Saccharomyces cerevisiae S288C: one gene and its partner. The main gene of each other region encodes a partner of the protein of the gene in region 2 in a complex. Each region holds a gene or a part of one and is shown on either strand. Other genes may lie near its edges. A codon is read from its position in the direction of its gene.

Region 1 (9,822 bases), on a different chromosome or scaffold from region 2:
GCCGATTGACATACAATATGATAAACAGGCTACTCCAAATCTGAGTGGTGTAATTACTCCGCCAACAAATGAAACTGGTAATGACTCAGTCCGGGAAAAACTTTCAAAACTAGTTGGCGATGCTATGTCAAACAATCCCTATTTTGCCGCCGGCGGTGGTCTTATGATCCTTGGTACAGGTTTAGCTGTAGCTAGATCCGGTATAATAAAAGCCAGCAGGGTCCTATACCGACAAATGATTGTCGACTTAGAGATTCAGTCGAAGGACAAATCATACGCCTGGTTTCTAACATGGATGGCCAAACATCCTCAAAGGGTATCTAGACACTTATCCGTTAGGACAAACTACATACAACATGACAATGGATCAGTTAGTACAAAATTTTCGCTGGTTCCGGGTCCGGGAAATCATTGGATTCGTTATAAGGGTGCTTTTATCCTGATTAAAAGAGAAAGGTCCGCAAAAATGATAGATATCGCAAACGGGTCACCATTTGAGACCGTAACCTTAACTACACTGTACCGTGACAAACATTTGTTCGATGACATTTTGAACGAGGCTAAAGACATAGCCCTGAAGACTACTGAGGGCAAGACTGTTATTTACACTTCTTTCGGCCCTGAATGGAGAAAGTTTGGTCAACCAAAAGCTAAAAGGATGCTGCCCTCCGTCATTTTGGACAGTGGCATCAAAGAGGGTATTCTCGATGACGTTTATGATTTTATGAAGAACGGCAAATGGTACTCTGACAGGGGTATCCCATATCGCAGGGGATATTTACTCTATGGCCCTCCCGGATCTGGTAAGACTAGCTTTATCCAGGCTTTAGCGGGCGAATTAGACTACAACATTTGTATTTTAAACCTCTCCGAAAATAATTTAACAGATGACAGATTAAACCACTTAATGAATAACATGCCAGAAAGGAGCATACTATTACTGGAAGATATTGACGCGGCGTTCAACAAAAGAAGTCAAACTGGTGAACAAGGTTTTCATTCTAGCGTAACATTTAGCGGTTTACTGAATGCCCTGGATGGCGTCACATCTTCTGAAGAAACTATTACATTCATGACTACCAATCATCCTGAAAAGCTAGACGCGGCTATAATGAGACCAGGTCGTATTGACTACAAAGTCTTCGTTGGTAACGCAACTCCATACCAGGTAGAAAAAATGTTTATGAAATTTTACCCAGGTGAGACTGATATATGCAAAAAGTTTGTAAATAGTGTTAAAGAATTGGATATCACCGTAAGTACCGCCCAGTTGCAAGGACTTTTCGTTATGAATAAAGATGCACCACACGATGCGTTGAAAATGGTCTCCAGCTTACGGAACGCTAATCATATTTTCTAGGTGCTAAGTGGCGCCTTACTACATAACTTGTATATAATAAAAATTCAGAAGATGCTTTAACTTTTTCTCGTTAATAAGACCGAGTTATTTGCTATTACGAACAAAAGAGTATATGATAAAGAGGCTTAAAAATACCCCTTCATTGACTATCCAGAAAAGCCTGCGTTGCAGCTTCAATATGATAAGGATATACTTCCCTCAAACCTTCTGCAGTTGCCCTTGTTCTAGCATCCAGCAGAATTTTTCTTAAAATGGCCTGAAATCCACATGCCAATAATAATTTCTTGTTATATTCTTGACTAGACTCTTGATCTTCATTTTGCCGTTGGAGAAGATCTTCTAGCTTATTCTCCTCCGCATCTAAACTAAGCTGCCGTAGCAAATAATTGGCCAATGCTTCCGTATCCATGGAAGAATGTTAGGAACTGTTGCTATTGTTGTACTTTGGTTATACGACAGTAAGTAACGTTGACTTGGTGACCGAAAATAGACACGAAATCGCTACCCGTTTCCCCAGAATATCACTCCTCACGATGTACCTCGGCGGCTAATCTTTTTGGTAGCCTTTTGTGATATATATATAAATAAATAAGTATACATACATATATATATATATATATTTATACAGCTACATTGTTTTCCTCCAAAATTTTCTGTTGGTTATGAATCGCAAAAGAAGTTTTCAGATTGTGTCCTCTGTTACTATTTCGTTAAGAAAGGAAGATATCGTCTACGGCTGGTGTGACGTAAGTATTGCGTTGTGCTCTAAAAATGAATCAAATCTGGTCTACAGGTCCCCCAAATTTTTACTTCAACTCTGAATGGAAAGAAAATAAGAGAAATGACAGGACAATTGAAGACTCTTTAAGAGAACTAGATGGGTTGATCCATTCCTTGGAGAGAACTCATATTGAAGTACAAACAAACCCAAAGCTAAAGAACGATGTCACAGCTTTAAATGATATTAACAAGAAAGAAAATAAAGAAGAGATCACTCATGAAAACTATACACACCAGATTAATAGTATTCCATTGACAAGCTCAAATTTAAATCGGCATTTCTCCTTTTCTAGAGACTACAACCAATCTGATAATAGCAATAATAATTATTACAGGGAATATTTATCCAAACCAAGGTATTTGCAGCAGTCAACTAAAGAACAAACTTTCAATGAAATTAATAAAAGAAAAAGTGCTGCAATTATTCCCCCTTGGTTAAATATTCCAGAAAACTCAAGATTTTTTGTAATAAAGTCCTCGTCTTTGAAGCATGTCAAAAGGTCGTTTTACAACGGAATTTGGTCGTCTACTCATTTCGGCAACAAAAGGCTATCTGAGGCATATAAAAAGCTTAATTCGGGAGCCAAAGTGTTTTTATTTTTTTCAATCAACACATCAGGAAGATTCTGTGGCGTTGCAGAAATGGTATCGGATTTGAAAATGGATTTGGACACCAGTATATGGGAAGATGAACAAAAATATGGCAAAGCCTTTAAAGTAAGATGGGTGATCGTGCGTGATATAAATAACAGATCGTTAAAAAGGTTTTTGATACCATCCAATGAAATGAAACCGATAACACATTCCAGAGATACTCAAGAAATTCCATATTCGATTGGAATTTCAATAATTAATCTATTTAAAACTCAAGATTCTGATATTTTCTCCTTCTTGGATGAGACGTATGAATAGACCTTATCCCTCATTTATCAACATTTTATTCTCATTTATTATTAGTATTATTATTATTTTTAATATTATTTTTATTTAAAATTATCCTAAAATTACTTCTACTGTTATAACATCCAATCCATAAGAAGCAAAAACAAAGTTTTCATATTAAGCCATCGTAAAGGTTTAAGGCACCAATAATAGAGGGATCGACTTTAGAACCTTCTCTGAATTCGTCCAGCGTAATGTAACCATCTTCGTTCTTATCCATCAACTTGAAGATCTTCTTTACCCTCATTTCGGGCGTTGCCTCATCCTCATTAAGTGTAACCATAGACCCCATCATTTTATAAACACTCGCCACAATGGTTAGCATTTCATCAAATGTAATATATCCATCATGGTTCAAATCATAAAGTTCGAAAGCCCAGCTCAGTTTTTCCTCCAAAGTTCCTCTGGACGTTGTACTCAAAACTGTGATAAACTCTTCAAAATGTATGAATCCATTGTTGTCTTTATCAAAAACTGTAAAAAGGTGATTAGCAAAATCTTCAGGAGAACCAAATGGAAAAAACTGTTTGTATATCTTAACAAAATCTTCCCTAGCTAGTTGGCCACTAGGGCAATCCCTCAAAAATCCTTTATGCCATTGCTGGATTTCTCTTCTATCAAAATAGGTGGATTGTTTCAAACATGTCAGGTCATCTTTGGAAAGCTTTGACGTCTTGGCTCCCATTTTTTTTTTGAATCAAAAACAGTTTTCAAGCACAAAATAACTCTCGCCGATTCTTAAACTAGCAACAATTATAAAACAGGAGGTAATATCCCTAGTTCATCAGTTCAATCGTTGACAAATTAAACATTATTTCAGTACTCTATGGTATAATAATAAAAAATACACCGAAGAGTTACCCTTTTTTCGTTTTTAATGATCAATTCTGGCTCATTTTTTTACTTCCTGAGCAGTCAACTACTACTGAAAAAAAGAGGCTAATGGGTACGCATTTACCTAAAAACAATTAGATCCCTGCCTTGGATCGTAATCTTGTTTATCTATCCTTTTTGGACATTGACATCTATTTGTGTCGCAGTTAATTGCTTTCTGGGTACGTTGACTTTTTCAGTTCTATATCGGCCCGTTGCTTACTCTGTTCAACTCACTTATTCTTTTGTTTCGGTTTGGGCTGCTGCATTTATAGATTAAAAATAAATTTCAAATTTCCACGCTAACAAATAGAGCTAAATTAGCAGTTTCATTGTTGGCTATATTTTCATTACAACTTTTGATCTGATAACGTAAAAGAATTCAAACAAAAACTATCTAAAAAAATACAAAGCAAAAATCATGTCTACTTTACAACGTCGTAGAGTCAATAGGGCGGATTCTGGAGATACTTCCTCCATTCATTCTTCTGCTAACAATACCAAAGGAGACAAAATCGCAAATATTGCTGTTGACGGGGATGATGACAATGGAACAAACAAAAAGATTGCATATGACCCAGAAGAATCGAAATTGAGAGACAACATCAATATCCCTACGTTAACGTTGATGGAAGAAGTCTTATTGATGGGCTTAAGAGATAGAGAAGGATATTTGTCGTTTTGGAATGATAGTATTTCATATGCTTTGCGTGGTTGTATAATTATAGAATTAGCGTTAAGAGGTAAAATCAGAATCTTAGATGATTCCGCCAGGAAAAGGTTCGATCTTTCCGAAAGGTTGATTGAAGTTATTGACAGTTCCAAAACTGGGGAAGTTTTACTGGATGAAACTTTGCAATTGATGAAAAACGACGAACCTTTGTCAATTTCTAACTGGATTGATCTTTTAAGTGGTGAAACATGGAACCTTTTAAAGATCAACTATCAATTGAAACAAGTAAGGGAAAGATTGGCAAAAGGTTTGGTCGATAAAGGTGTATTGAGAACAGAAATGAAAAATTTCTTTTTGTTTGACATGGCGACACACCCCATTGCAGACGCCAGCTGCAAAGAAGCCATTAAGCGCAGAGTACTTTCTGTACTCGTATCGAGGAACATGGAATTAAGTTACAATGAATATTTTCCGGAGACAACATCTTTCAAAATCATTAGAACTTTAGCTTTAATATGTGGATCATATGGGGCAAACGTATTGGAGAATGTCCTGACTACGTTGGAATATGAGAAGAGAGATAAGGCAATTAGTAGAGCTGAAGAAATAATGGCACAATTTTCGCAATACCCATTTGATTTAGAAAAGGAAACTGAGTTAGGTGTCTCCGTTAATTTAAACAAGGAAGTTAAAGAAGAGATAGAAAACAATCCTGGTCATGATTTACAATTGGAAGTTATTGCTGGTGTATTTGAAGTCTTTTCAAGAATGGATATGCTATTATGAAAATAACAACAAAAATCCTCTCTTTGAAACATAAGGAAAAGTCAAGCTTTTTTTTATAAGCCTCTAACATTAATAAACGAAATTTGTATATATGTATATACATATACGGAGTGGATAATAAATAGACCAAACTTTTTGTTATTATATACGCCCACATTCGTATTCATTGCTTTCTTGAATCCAAATGCTTTAAATATGGAGATAAAAATCCGCCATCGCCATATTTATTCAAGTAATATTTTTTAACTCTCACATCTTGAAATATTGATGGTTTTGATGACACATTAAAGTGCAAGCCTTCATTAAATGCGTTTATCAACGACCTTGACTCATTTGCATAAGCTTCACCACATGACTCCCACCAAAAGCCTCCGCCTAAATTGTTATGTGTCACATATTCAGCCTTAGTTTTGACTGATTTAGTGTTATCATAACTGATAAATATTGAATTTTTTTCATCAAAGCAATATGCTGAAACATATTTTGGATCGTATTGTTCTATTGTACCAATCTTTGGTAAATTTTTGTAAGGCCAGATGCCCTCCTTGCCATCAGCTTTATCTATTTCTTTAGTGGGCTTGCCCACTCCTTTGAAAATTTTGTTAATTAATACAGTATTTTGATTGAATGGTTCGAATTTGTTATCTTTGATATGGAAACTTCTTCCGTAGGCGGCCATTCCCAGTACTAATTTTCTAGAATTGACGCCAAATCTATCGATCATATAATGCATGGCAAAGTTTCCATTCAATTCCGTCTCACTGAATAGATTGCTGTGATATCCTGTTGTTTCTGACCACGAGCCATAATAATCGTACGTCATCATATTCCAGTAGTCAACATATTGATCAATTTCTGTGATTGGCAAGTAAAATAATTTATCCTTGAATGCAGGTGCCGCAATAGATAATTGAAAATGATCTTCAGTACGTTTCCCAAATATTTGGGATTCGAGGCTGTTTAGTTTTAATCGCAGCATTCTGACCAGTTTCAGATATCCGCGAGGTTCTGATTCATTGTTACCAGGGAACTCCCAGTCTAGATCAATGCCATCAAATCCTAATCTGAACATTGTTTCCACCGACGAATCAACAAAATTTTGTAAGAGTTTATCATCTTTAATTATGATTTTGAAATTTTCACTATCAGACCAGCCCCCAATTGACATGATAACTTTAAATTTCTTATCAGAACAGGTATTCTTCAAATAAAATAGTTCACCAATGCAACCTAAGGGTAGGATGTTTTGGACACTATTGTTCGAGCTTTCTTTAATTAGTTCTGAATTTTTAATTGCCAGCGATTTATACAAATTCATTTCTAGATCAGACCAACTATCCGTGTTTTCTATACCACCAGTTCTAGAGTTTATTTTGAAAAATGCATAGTAAATGTGAGACACTTGCTTCAAGTTTATGTCGTGAGGGAAATGAAACCTCGGTTTGTATGGGGACCAATTGGAATAATAGACCCCTGATATAAAGGCTTCGTCTCTTATATGGGTTCCATGATTTTGGACATTACTGGGAACTCGATGTCCGCCATTGTTAAAGTTGTCTCTAATATCATCCGACCTTTGGTTCTTAAAAATTTTATTATATAAACACATTTCAATAATAATCGTTATAAAGATAAGTAGTATTAGTAGGTGAGACACTAAGCTGCTTTTTGATCTGTGCTGAGCTGAGTGTCCTACCATATGATCACTCTTGTATCGTCTACTTATAGAGGTTGTTAGTACCAACCTGCAAATACAATTGTTGGACCATACTACCACAAAAGGTTCTTTTCGTTGGTGTATCCTCACAAATAATGATTATTCCACCAAAATCACCAAATTATTGTGTCAAACTAACTGGGATTACCCCACTATTGATTTTTCCAGTTTTTCCGCAATTTTCGCAGCATGTTTTACTTTTATAATGGCATTGTTGCATTACAGCGCCAGTTGTAGGTATCGATGATTTTATGTCAAAGTTTTCTTTCTAGCCAAACTCAGTTATGTCAACTGAACAAGATGCTGTTCTTGGATTGGCCAAAGATTTAGAAGGTATAAATTTGCTTACTGTGCCCAATCTCGAGAGAGGACACCAAAGTAAATTATGCAAAGAGAAAACTACTTCTGATTCATCTTCGTCAAGGAAGCCTTCACAACAGAGAGACAATTATAGAAAGAGACGTCCGAAACTTATATGTATCCCATATACGTCTTTTCTGCATACTGGTATGCACAATTTTTTGACGAAACCACCAAGAGATATATTTCATGAAAGTAAAGAAGTAGCTCTGTTTACCAATGGCCGGGCTTATACAATCCTACGCAAAGACCTTATACCAAATTTGAAAGAAAGTATTGCTGAATTGTATGAAAGCTCGCTTCTTGAGGCAAAAAAGCGGAAAGTCCCGTATTTAGGCCATGACTTATTTGCTAATATTGATGAGTTCGTTCCCATGACAATATCCGAATTAGATAGTGTATCACCGTGTTTTTCATACATTGAGAACTGGATACTAGATAATCCTGGTAAGGATTTTAAGATCGGCAAGAAATTTACTGTTGTAACCACAAGACATCATATCGTAGATTTGACTATGCATCTCTTTAACAGGCGAAATAGACAAACGTCACTAATTGTAACTTATATGGGGGCGGGCCTTCTTTCATTTTGCAGAAATGTAAAAAAAGATTCTCAAATGTCCAAAGAGGGCATTTATTCAAATGATCCAAATATGAAGAAAATTTGCTATTCAGGATTTGAATTTGAAAATTGGGTAACCGAAAATTCCAAAGTCGCTGATTTAACTGGCTCTAAATGTCCTATTTTTTCTCTTGTAGAGAGTAAACTTTCAGAAGAAATTGGTCTTTTAATTCGCTGCGAAATGGATGCATTCAATCCTGTTTCGGAGACAAACACAGAACTAAAGTGTTTTGCCCCATTATCAATGCACAATTCCAATCATAGGAGAAAACTTCTGAAAACGTGGGTACAGACGGGTTTATTACCGAACTCAGATATCATGATAGGTTTGAGGGACAGTCATAGCGGTCAATTACTAGACATTCAATGGTACTCAAGGGACTTATTATGTAAGAAATTCAATCACCCAGGTCTACCTACAAATAAAAAGGAACTTAACTATAATGCCCAAATTGCGGTAGAATGGTGTCATTATTGTATTGAAGCAATTTGTAAGCTGGTGGAGGCAAATATCTCTGACTATAGCAGTACAAAACCAGAATCATTTGAAATCGGTATAGATACTAACAACGCCATCGTCATCACTAAACTTAAGACTACTCCAAGAAACGTAGAATTATTTGGAATGTAGAGACGTGTATAATATATAATACTTTTCCGAGAAATATTTCATTTTCATTTTCGTAAAGTTGTTAACTACGCTAAATATTAGTACTTTTCTTAAATTTATATGGGGAGCCCTTTTTTTCTATGAAAAGCAATGCGTAAACCAAATAAGCAGAATTTTGTAATAGATGAGCAACAATACTGAGAAGGTGATAACTATAAATTTATGTGGGTAGTACGATACCAGAATACATTGGAAGATGGCTCTATTAGCTTTATATCATGTTGTCTTCAGGCCTTCAAAACTTATAGTATAGGTAGATCAAGTAAAAACCCACTGATAATTAAAAATGATAAAAGTATTTCCAGACAGCATATCACATTCAAATGGGAAATCAATAATAGTTCGGATCTGAAACACAGTAGCCTGTGTTTAGTTAACAAGGGTAAATTGACATCATTAAATAAAAAATTCATGAAAGTTGGCGAAACATTTACTATTAATGCCTCGGACGTTTTAAAGTCCACAATAATTGAACTGGGTACAACTCCTATTCGTATAGAGTTCGAATGGATAAATGAAGTCTGGAACATTCCTCCTCATTTGACACAATTCAGGACGATGCTTTCTGAATATGGTATCTCCACTGAGATTTCTATTAATGATATTCCCGCTAATCTGATGATTAGCGATTACCCAAAGAGCGAGGACAACAGCATACGGGAATTGTATGCCCTTGTTAGTACTATACCCATGAAAAAATCACGGTTTCTGATGGAATTGTGTAATACTCTTCTTCCCACATCTAAAACTAATTTAAAATTTGATGAAATGTGGAACGATATGATTAGTAATCCGGAGTACAATGTTTTTGATTTTGATCCAAATATTTTGCTTTCGAAGTTTATGAGGCTGAATAATATCAGAGTGTTAACTACTATCAAAAGTGAACCACGTCTATCATCTCTCCTGCGGACGTTCAATATAAATTTATTTGCATTTGACAACATTGATAGTTTATATAAATATGTTGACAGCTTGGAAGCATCAACAGAATACCTGATTTTGACAACTACAGATAAGAAAGAAAATGGGAAAATTC
Region 2 (7,282 bases):
ACATGCCAATGACAGACCCTTGAGTGATTGGGAGAAGTTTTGGCTTTCTAGGGAGTGTTTTCTAAGATACCTAAGAGCCAATAAATGGAACACCGCGAACGCCATAAAAGGTCTCACCAAAACCTTGGTATGGAGGAGAGAAATTGGACTTACACATGGTAAGGAGGACAAAGACCCTTTAACAGCTGACAAAGTTGCCGTTGAGAACGAAACTGGTAAACAGGTTATTTTGGGCTTTGACAACGCTAAAAGACCTCTATACTACATGAAAAATGGTCGTCAAAACACAGAATCTTCCTTTAGACAAGTCCAAGAATTAGTCTACATGATGGAAACTGCGACAACTGTAGCTCCCCAAGGTGTAGAAAAGATCACAGTCTTGGTAGATTTCAAAAGTTATAAAGAACCTGGTATTATCACTGATAAAGCTCCACCCATCTCTATTGCTAGGATGTGTTTGAACGTCATGCAAGATCATTACCCTGAAAGGTTAGCTAAGTGTGTCCTGATCAATATCCCATGGTTTGCGTGGGCTTTTTTGAAGATGATGTATCCGTTCCTTGACCCTGCCACTAAGGCGAAGGCTATCTTTGACGAACCATTTGAAAACCACATAGAGCCATCTCAACTAGATGCTCTATACAATGGTCTGTTAGACTTCAAGTATAAACATGAAGTCTATTGGCCAGATATGGTTAAGAAAGTTGACGATTTACGATTGAAACGTTTTGATAGATTTTTAAAGTTTGGAGGCATTGTCGGATTAAGTGAATATGACACCAAGGGCCAACATGACGAATTAAAATATCCTGTTGATATGGTCATTTGATAAACTATAATTAAGATTTTTTTTTTTAACGTTTCCCGCTACACAAACGTATATATCTAGACTCAGATGTACGTTTATAATGGCTGCTTATGCGCTTATCGCATTTTATATACTTTTAGAATCAACTGAATCGGCTATCCGCACTCTATTGTTTTGTTTCATGAAAAAAAAAACGCCTTCTGAATTCCAAAGGGTGTGAAAATTATATATACTATTAGTTCCAGCTAATCAATCAGAACTAGTCAACATAGAAGATAGATAAGAGAATACGACAACTAAAAATGGCTCCGTCAATGATTCCGTTCACTGTATGTTTATATTTTATAGTAATTTTTAAAAAGCTTTAGTATGCAAAAGATCTAGGATGTACTAACTGAAGAAGGGTAAAACTATCATCCAAATTATTGTTATAGATCAAGCTTAAAACATGCCTGAAAATGTGTATTCAAAGGTTAAGATATGCTCAAGAAAAGCAACAGGCGATTGCAAAGCAGTCTCGAAGACAGGTTGCACAACTGTTACTGACAAATAAAGAACAGAAGGCGCATTATCGTGTGGAGACGCTAATTCATGACGATATTCATATTGAGCTACTAGAGATATTGGAACTATATTGTGAATTACTACTGGCTAGAGTGCAGGTAATAAACGATATCTCCACCGAGGAACAGCTTGTCAAAGAGCATATGGATGATGGTATTAACGAAGCTATCAGATCCCTAATCTATGCGATTCTTTTCGTTGATGAAGTCAAAGAACTTAGCCAATTGAAAGATTTGATGGCCTGGAAAATAAACGTTGAGTTTGTTAATGGAGTAATAGCAGATCATATCGATGTCCCTGAAAAGATTATAAAAAAATGCTCTCCCTCAGTTCCAAAAGAAGAACTAGTTGATCTTTATTTGAAGGAAATCGCGAAAACATACGATGTGCCATATAGTAAGCTGGAGAATTCCTTATCTTCGTCGTCTTCTAACATTTCTTCAGACTTTAGTGACCCCTCGGGAGATATCGAGGATAATGACGAAGAAAAGCCTATTTTAGCCTTAGATAATGACGATAATGACAATGCAGATGCTAAACACCCTATCACTGTTAAAAAGCCTAGGCAGAATAGTGAAAATATCAAGAACGAGCTCAAGATTCCGAAAGATATCAAAAAGGAAGTGATCGAAAAGAAACAATCAGAAAAGAAAACTACAAAAAGAAAGACTAAGAAGGAGCAAGAAAATGATGAACTAGATGAGTTGAAGAAACGGTTTGACGCTTTACGCAGAAAATAAGATAATAATTTATATGTATGGTTAATTAACCACATATTTATTTTACTCTCATTCTTTTACCTTGCTTTTTCTGAGTCAGCTGCTCTATTATTCTCGGCAATAAATAAATATATGTATATTCCTTTTACTAAAATTCCAATTTTTTTGTTCTCCGGACATTTGCAAATTGTTTTTCCAGTTCTGTCACAGCTATTTTCCTTCTCAGCTATATATACCCTGTGTAATAAGTTGAAATTGGTCGTATATTCTGGTGTAAATACTACCCAAAGATTTACCTATCAAGAAATTTTCTACGAAGTCATCAACTTCTTTTTCTGATAAGTCCAATTGGAACCTTTGTCGTAGTTGTACACTTGTTTGTTCGCCAGCATCGAAACAAGGCTGCATATTGTCCTTTTGCATAATCTCACACATTGATACGATTTGATCAGCATACTTTCTCAGAGCCTTGAACGAACTTTTAGTTAGTTCAACAAACTTTTTAAACGCTTCTCCCTCTACTCCGCCTAGCAGTTCAATATATTCGTAAGTTAATTTGAATGGTGCGGCCTCAAAGCCCACTGAGCCGGGTGAATTTGATAGCATAAATCCAAAATCGATGTGACTTACATGGCCTTCGTTATCGATCATAATGTTACCGTTGTGTCTATCTTTAACCTGCAAGAGATAGCAAATGACAGAATATGCGGCTAACGAAGAAGCAAAGTTGTCTTGTGCTCTTCTATACTTAAATCCATTAGGATTACCAAAAGCTCTAAGGAAGTGATCATTCAAAGAGGCAATACCACCCTTGTCATCTAGTTCTGCATCTTCAATCATTTTTTTGGTTAAAGCCTTTTTAATACTATGCACAGACATAGCATTTGTGATGGTCTCCACAAGTCCCGTATTCGCACTAGTAATTAAAATTTTCATTCTTTTAACCCAAACGTCAACTTTTTCTTTAACCCAAATATTGGCCATCGCTTGAATCATCTGGTATGCAAACGCCTCCTGTCTCAAATCATCACCCGTCTTGGCGATTACAGAACATAAATCCCAGTTTTCGAAATGGCCATATTCCGAAGTTTTACGTATCCTCTCTTTCTTGGTAGCCCAATCTTCACCTAGATATGAAGTGTCAATACCACCCGTCATTAAATCGTTTTCCAATTTTCTCTCACCTGCCATTCCATGAAGGGCTTCCAAATCATGGTAACCAAATTTATCCTGCACCTCCTTCATTGATGAAATAATTTGAGCGCGGATTTGTTTGGTACTTTCTGATAACTGTTGTGGCGACTTATCCAATTGTGCTAACATAACAGCTGAAACTCTCATCTGGTCTGCTAAAGCGTCAGTTTGGCTATGTATATTTTTGCTATTAATTCCATTCTCGATGAGTACTTCGTCCAAGTTTGAGCCAAAGTTCAACTCTGGGCTTCTGTCTTGACTATCATCAGGTAAAATTGGAACATTTGCGGCACTCTGTATTACTAAAGCATTTCTATACGCTTCGTCATCCGTTCTGTTCCTGACTTTTACCATTGACATATCACCTAAATCTTCCTCTTTATTGACTTCAGTCCTAACATGAGCTGTGGACGCTGAATCACTTCTTGAGGTACTGGATAGACCTTCATTGCGGGAGGCCCCGTTGTTGAACGAGTTACTATCATATACCGAAGATCGAGTGTTGTTGCTAGTAAGAGTACTTTCATTTCTATTTTCGTTGTTTTCTTTTCTATTCATGTAATTTAAATCAAATATCAAGCCTCCCTGATTACCACTGATCTTCTTTAATAATCTTTCATTGGTTTCACTTGTTGGGTCAAAATCAAATTCGTCTCTCAAGTATTCTATCAGGAGTAAATATGGAACTTTTTCTGCAGAGTTCAAAACTTGTGCCTCATTAGCAGTAATGGTCACTAATTTATGTAACTTTCCTTTTTTATTTGGAGGCAATAAAGTGGGGATATCTACTTCCGCTGGTAGGTCCCTGTTTAATAGAAACAACTCGGCTCGTAAGGCACTCAATCTAGCTTCTGTCGGTACTCGAGCTAGCCTTTGAGATATTGTTTCTAGCGCAATGGCAAATTGTGTCTCGCAACGAAAATAATTTGCTTTTAACATTTTTATTTTTGAAGTGGTCGATAATTGCGACAAGTCAATTTCTTGACTCAAAGAAGAATTCGCTTTTTTACTGTTTTTGAATGCCTGGCGCGAAAGGGGTTGGGAATTGGTCCTGTTTAACTTAGGTGTCCCTTCTAAAGAAGCAGATGAAGCAGAAGAAGTCCTTGGTTGAATATTATGCAGATCTGGCATAGAACTGGTGAAGTGATCAGAGTTTAAAGCGTCCGCGTCCTCCTCCGTTTCACCACCAGTTTCATCTTCATTGTTACCAATCTCATTATTTTCATCATTACGTCCCTTTGGAGAAATATAATCACCTTTATTTCCATCGAGAGCCTTTGCGGTATTTGAAATGCTTCCGTCCCTGTTTATATTTTTGCCATCATATGTCCTATGAACGTATGAATTATCCAAATACTTAGGTTTACGTTTTGGGAGTTTGATTGAAGATGAGATTCTTTCTTCAAAGACCTGGTTACCTATATCATCCACAATGTCGAAATCCAATTTTACCTCACTATGTCTGGATTTCCTGAAGGATGCATCTTCTTTAGTTTTTATTGGATCTATTAAATCTATTGGAGAAGTCGGAGTTGAACTGCGATTTGAGCTAACTCTTTTGGATCTGGAAGTTTTCTTGTTTAGTAGGGTATTTTTCAAGGTCATGTTCTTGGTAAAATCTTTCATTGCACTTCTAGCCAACTTAAAAACGAAAGCTTTTTGTCTTCTACCTTGAGATTCCACTAATGGTTTGGTCACTTCGCTTAATTGGGGGAATGCTATAGCCGACATTATCATAGAGGAAAGAACTAAGGCCGGTGCAACGTTTTCATGTATTTTAACATTTTTATCGCTACCTGAACTTGTGTTAAAGAGATTGGTTTGTAAGTTGTTTAAGACTCTTCTAGCCACTTGGAAGCCATAAGAAGCGGGGTCAGTAGATAAATCCGTTAGTAACGCTTGTAACTGCCAAAACGTCAGTAGTGCAAAATGAGGGTTTTCCGCCCTCAACCTTAATAGTAAATCTTCTAAAGCCATTGATTCTGTCTCCATGGTGACGAGGACCTGTACTAGTTGGGGAATATAGAACTGTAGTTCGCTGTGAGGAAATGTGGCCAATTTCTGACATAAATAGTAATGTATACCAATATTTTCGGAGTGTTTGCACAGTAACTCCACACAATTGTGAAGGGTGAATTCACTAGAGTTGATCAGTTTCAGTAATTGTTCATTTTTTTTTAGTTCAATAGTATCATCAAAGCTTTTCTTTGAACTGGATGCTTTATGCATAGTGAAGAGAACGAATGCTTAATGAAAACGAACGCTCGCAATGAAGAAAAATGATAAGCTAATTGAAAATTTCTAGCAGGGTCCAGGGATCTTCTTAATATAGAAGTTGGGCCTAAAAAATGAAGGGTCTTCAGTATAAGATCTTGTACTTTTAGTTTTTCTCTAACGAATTTTTTGGTAGGGTTCTTTTGTTTCAGTGCAATAACACGAAAATGACAACAGTTGAACATATCGTGAATAATGACCCTGTTATACACGCTATCAAGTACGTAAAGGATAATATGGAAAATTTATTATAGATTTGAGTACTATCGCTGGCCGAAGGTGACAATGGCCTTATGATGTAACATACTATGAATAGTGAATAATAAGTGGTGATATTATACATAAAGTTTGGGGCAATCCCTCAAAATCTCTACAGGCTATTTTGATTAATGAAACGTCTATTTTTTTATTTTTTTCTATTTTGAAGGCATGCAAGAGGTTCTGTGACTATGCAACAGCAGCCCAGAATTTCTCCCATAAATTCTTAGGCTCGTCGTCTTCCCAAATAATTGCTTCGATTTCTCTTCTGTCGGAATCGATGTCAATATCTTCTAGCTTCCAAATAAATCTGCATTTGTAGTATATCTGGCAACCAATGAACACAACGGCTAAAAGAATCAAGGAGATGTAAGATGTGAAAAACTCAGAAACTTTGAACGGACAGAACGCTTGGAACCCTTGGATGAATATGATGACGGTGACAAAAAAGGCTGCGTAGTAGGCACCATAAGGCATCAATTTGGCCTTGAAGGGCAGATCATCACGAGAAATACCACGGTGCTTTAAAGCTTGCATGAACCTAATATGTGCCAAAGAGATGAATAACCAGGCGCATAACCCAGCCAAAGTGGAAATGTTGATCAACCAGTTAAATGCAGTGTTTGCATTGTTATTGACAACCAGGAATGCCAAAAGACCCAATGCAGCAGTGCAAACAACACCGAGATATGGAACACCCTGTCTGGTGACGTATCCAAATTGCTTTGGTGCGTTACCAGTCCTAGCTAAAGAGTAAAGAACACGGGAACCAACGTAAACATTCGAATTAGCGGCAGATACAACAGTAATCAACACCACGGCGTTGAAAATATCTGGAAGAGCATAAGTACCAGCGTTTTGAATGGAAATAACGAAGGGTGATGATGCAATAACAGCAGAACTAGCAGATAAACGGGAATCGTTGTATGGAACCAGTAGACCAATAAAGAACAAAGACATAATATAGAATAGTACGATTCTAAAGACGACTTTATTGATAGCTCTTGGAACGGTCTTTCTTGGGTTAGCCGCTTCACCAGCGGTGATCCCAACCAGTTCAGTACCTTGGTACGTAAATGCAGCATTAATCAAGGAGGAGACCCATCCGAGAAAACGGCCTTCACTTTTATCACTGGAGATGATGCCTGGCCCCCAGGCTCCTGGATTTCTCCAGTACCTGAAACCGATAGGGCCCTGGTGGGATCCACCGCAGACAATAATCAAAGCATATATCAAGTAACCCATAATGGCTAAAACTTTAACAGAGGCCACCCAGAACTCAAATTCACCATAAACTTTGACAGGGAAAAAATTCATCAAAGTAATAATTACCCAGAATATCGCAATCCAGGCCGCTAATGGAACTTTATCTGTCCAGTATTCAATAACTTGGCCAATGACAGAAACCTCCACAGCATAAGTAATAGCCCAATTGAACCAGTACATGTAGCCGTTAGAAACACCG

The links.
Region 1: the proteins of PIK1 (region 2) and FRQ1 are in contact, whole or in part, in an NMR structure (PDB 2JU0), measured with the Saccharomyces cerevisiae proteins. Residues at the interface, in NP_014132.1 of Saccharomyces cerevisiae: Ser122 (codon at 5,151), Tyr123 (codon at 5,148), Gly124 (codon at 5,145), Phe125 (codon at 5,142), Val127 (codon at 5,136), Ala128 (codon at 5,133), Val131 (codon at 5,124), Asn134 (codon at 5,115), Leu135 (codon at 5,112), Gln136 (codon at 5,109), Asn138 (codon at 5,103), Asn141 (codon at 5,094), Thr142 (codon at 5,091), Ser143 (codon at 5,088), Lys151 (codon at 5,064), Glu154 (codon at 5,055), Asn155 (codon at 5,052), Val156 (codon at 5,049), Ala157 (codon at 5,046), Pro158 (codon at 5,043), Ala159 (codon at 5,040), Leu160 (codon at 5,037), Val161 (codon at 5,034), Ser163 (codon at 5,028), Ser164 (codon at 5,025), Met165 (codon at 5,022), Met167 (codon at 5,016), Ser168 (codon at 5,013), Ile170 (codon at 5,007); in NP_010661.3 of Saccharomyces cerevisiae: Trp30 (codon at 3,680), Gly33 (codon at 3,671), Phe34 (codon at 3,668), Arg36 (codon at 3,662), Asp37 (codon at 3,659), Ile51 (codon at 3,617), Tyr52 (codon at 3,614), Phe55 (codon at 3,605), Phe56 (codon at 3,602), Phe64 (codon at 3,578), Phe72 (codon at 3,554), Phe85 (codon at 3,515), Leu89 (codon at 3,503), Thr92 (codon at 3,494), Ser93 (codon at 3,491), Arg94 (codon at 3,488), Lys100 (codon at 3,470), Leu107 (codon at 3,449), Tyr108 (codon at 3,446), Met132 (codon at 3,374), Ser134 (codon at 3,368), Met135 (codon at 3,365), Glu142 (codon at 3,344), Arg148 (codon at 3,326), Lys151 (codon at 3,317), Leu155 (codon at 3,305), Asp176 (codon at 3,242).

What each region holds. Positions count from the first base shown.
Region 1 is NC_001136.10:1,216,704-1,226,525, reverse strand, and holds FRQ1 (frequenin), read right to left. Parts: upstream 3,768-9,822; coding exon 3,195-3,767; downstream 1-3,194. Other genes in the region: bifunctional AAA family ATPase chaperone/translocase BCS1, read left to right, coding at 1-1,360; WIP1 (Wip1p), read right to left, coding at 1,500-1,769; PHO92 (mRNA-binding phosphate metabolism regulator), read left to right, coding at 2,132-3,052; VPS74 (Vps74p), read left to right, coding at 4,377-5,414; CTS2 (putative chitinase), read right to left, coding at 5,578-7,113; DXO1 (Dxo1p), read left to right, coding at 7,416-8,744; XRS2 (Xrs2p), read left to right, coding at 8,946-9,822.
Region 2 is NC_001146.8:139,110-146,391, reverse strand, and holds PIK1 (1-phosphatidylinositol 4-kinase), read right to left. Parts: upstream 5,515-7,282; coding exon 2,314-5,514; downstream 1-2,313. Other genes in the region: PDR17 (phosphatidylinositol transporter), read left to right, coding at 1-829; IST1 (Ist1p), read left to right, coding at 1,111-1,137, 1,243-2,112; LYP1 (lysine permease), read right to left, coding at 6,007-7,282. UniProt on the Saccharomyces cerevisiae protein: Acts on phosphatidylinositol (PI) in the first committed step in the production of the second messenger inositol 1,4,5,-trisphosphate. PIK1 is part of a nuclear phosphoinositide cycle and could control cytokinesis through the actin cytoskeleton.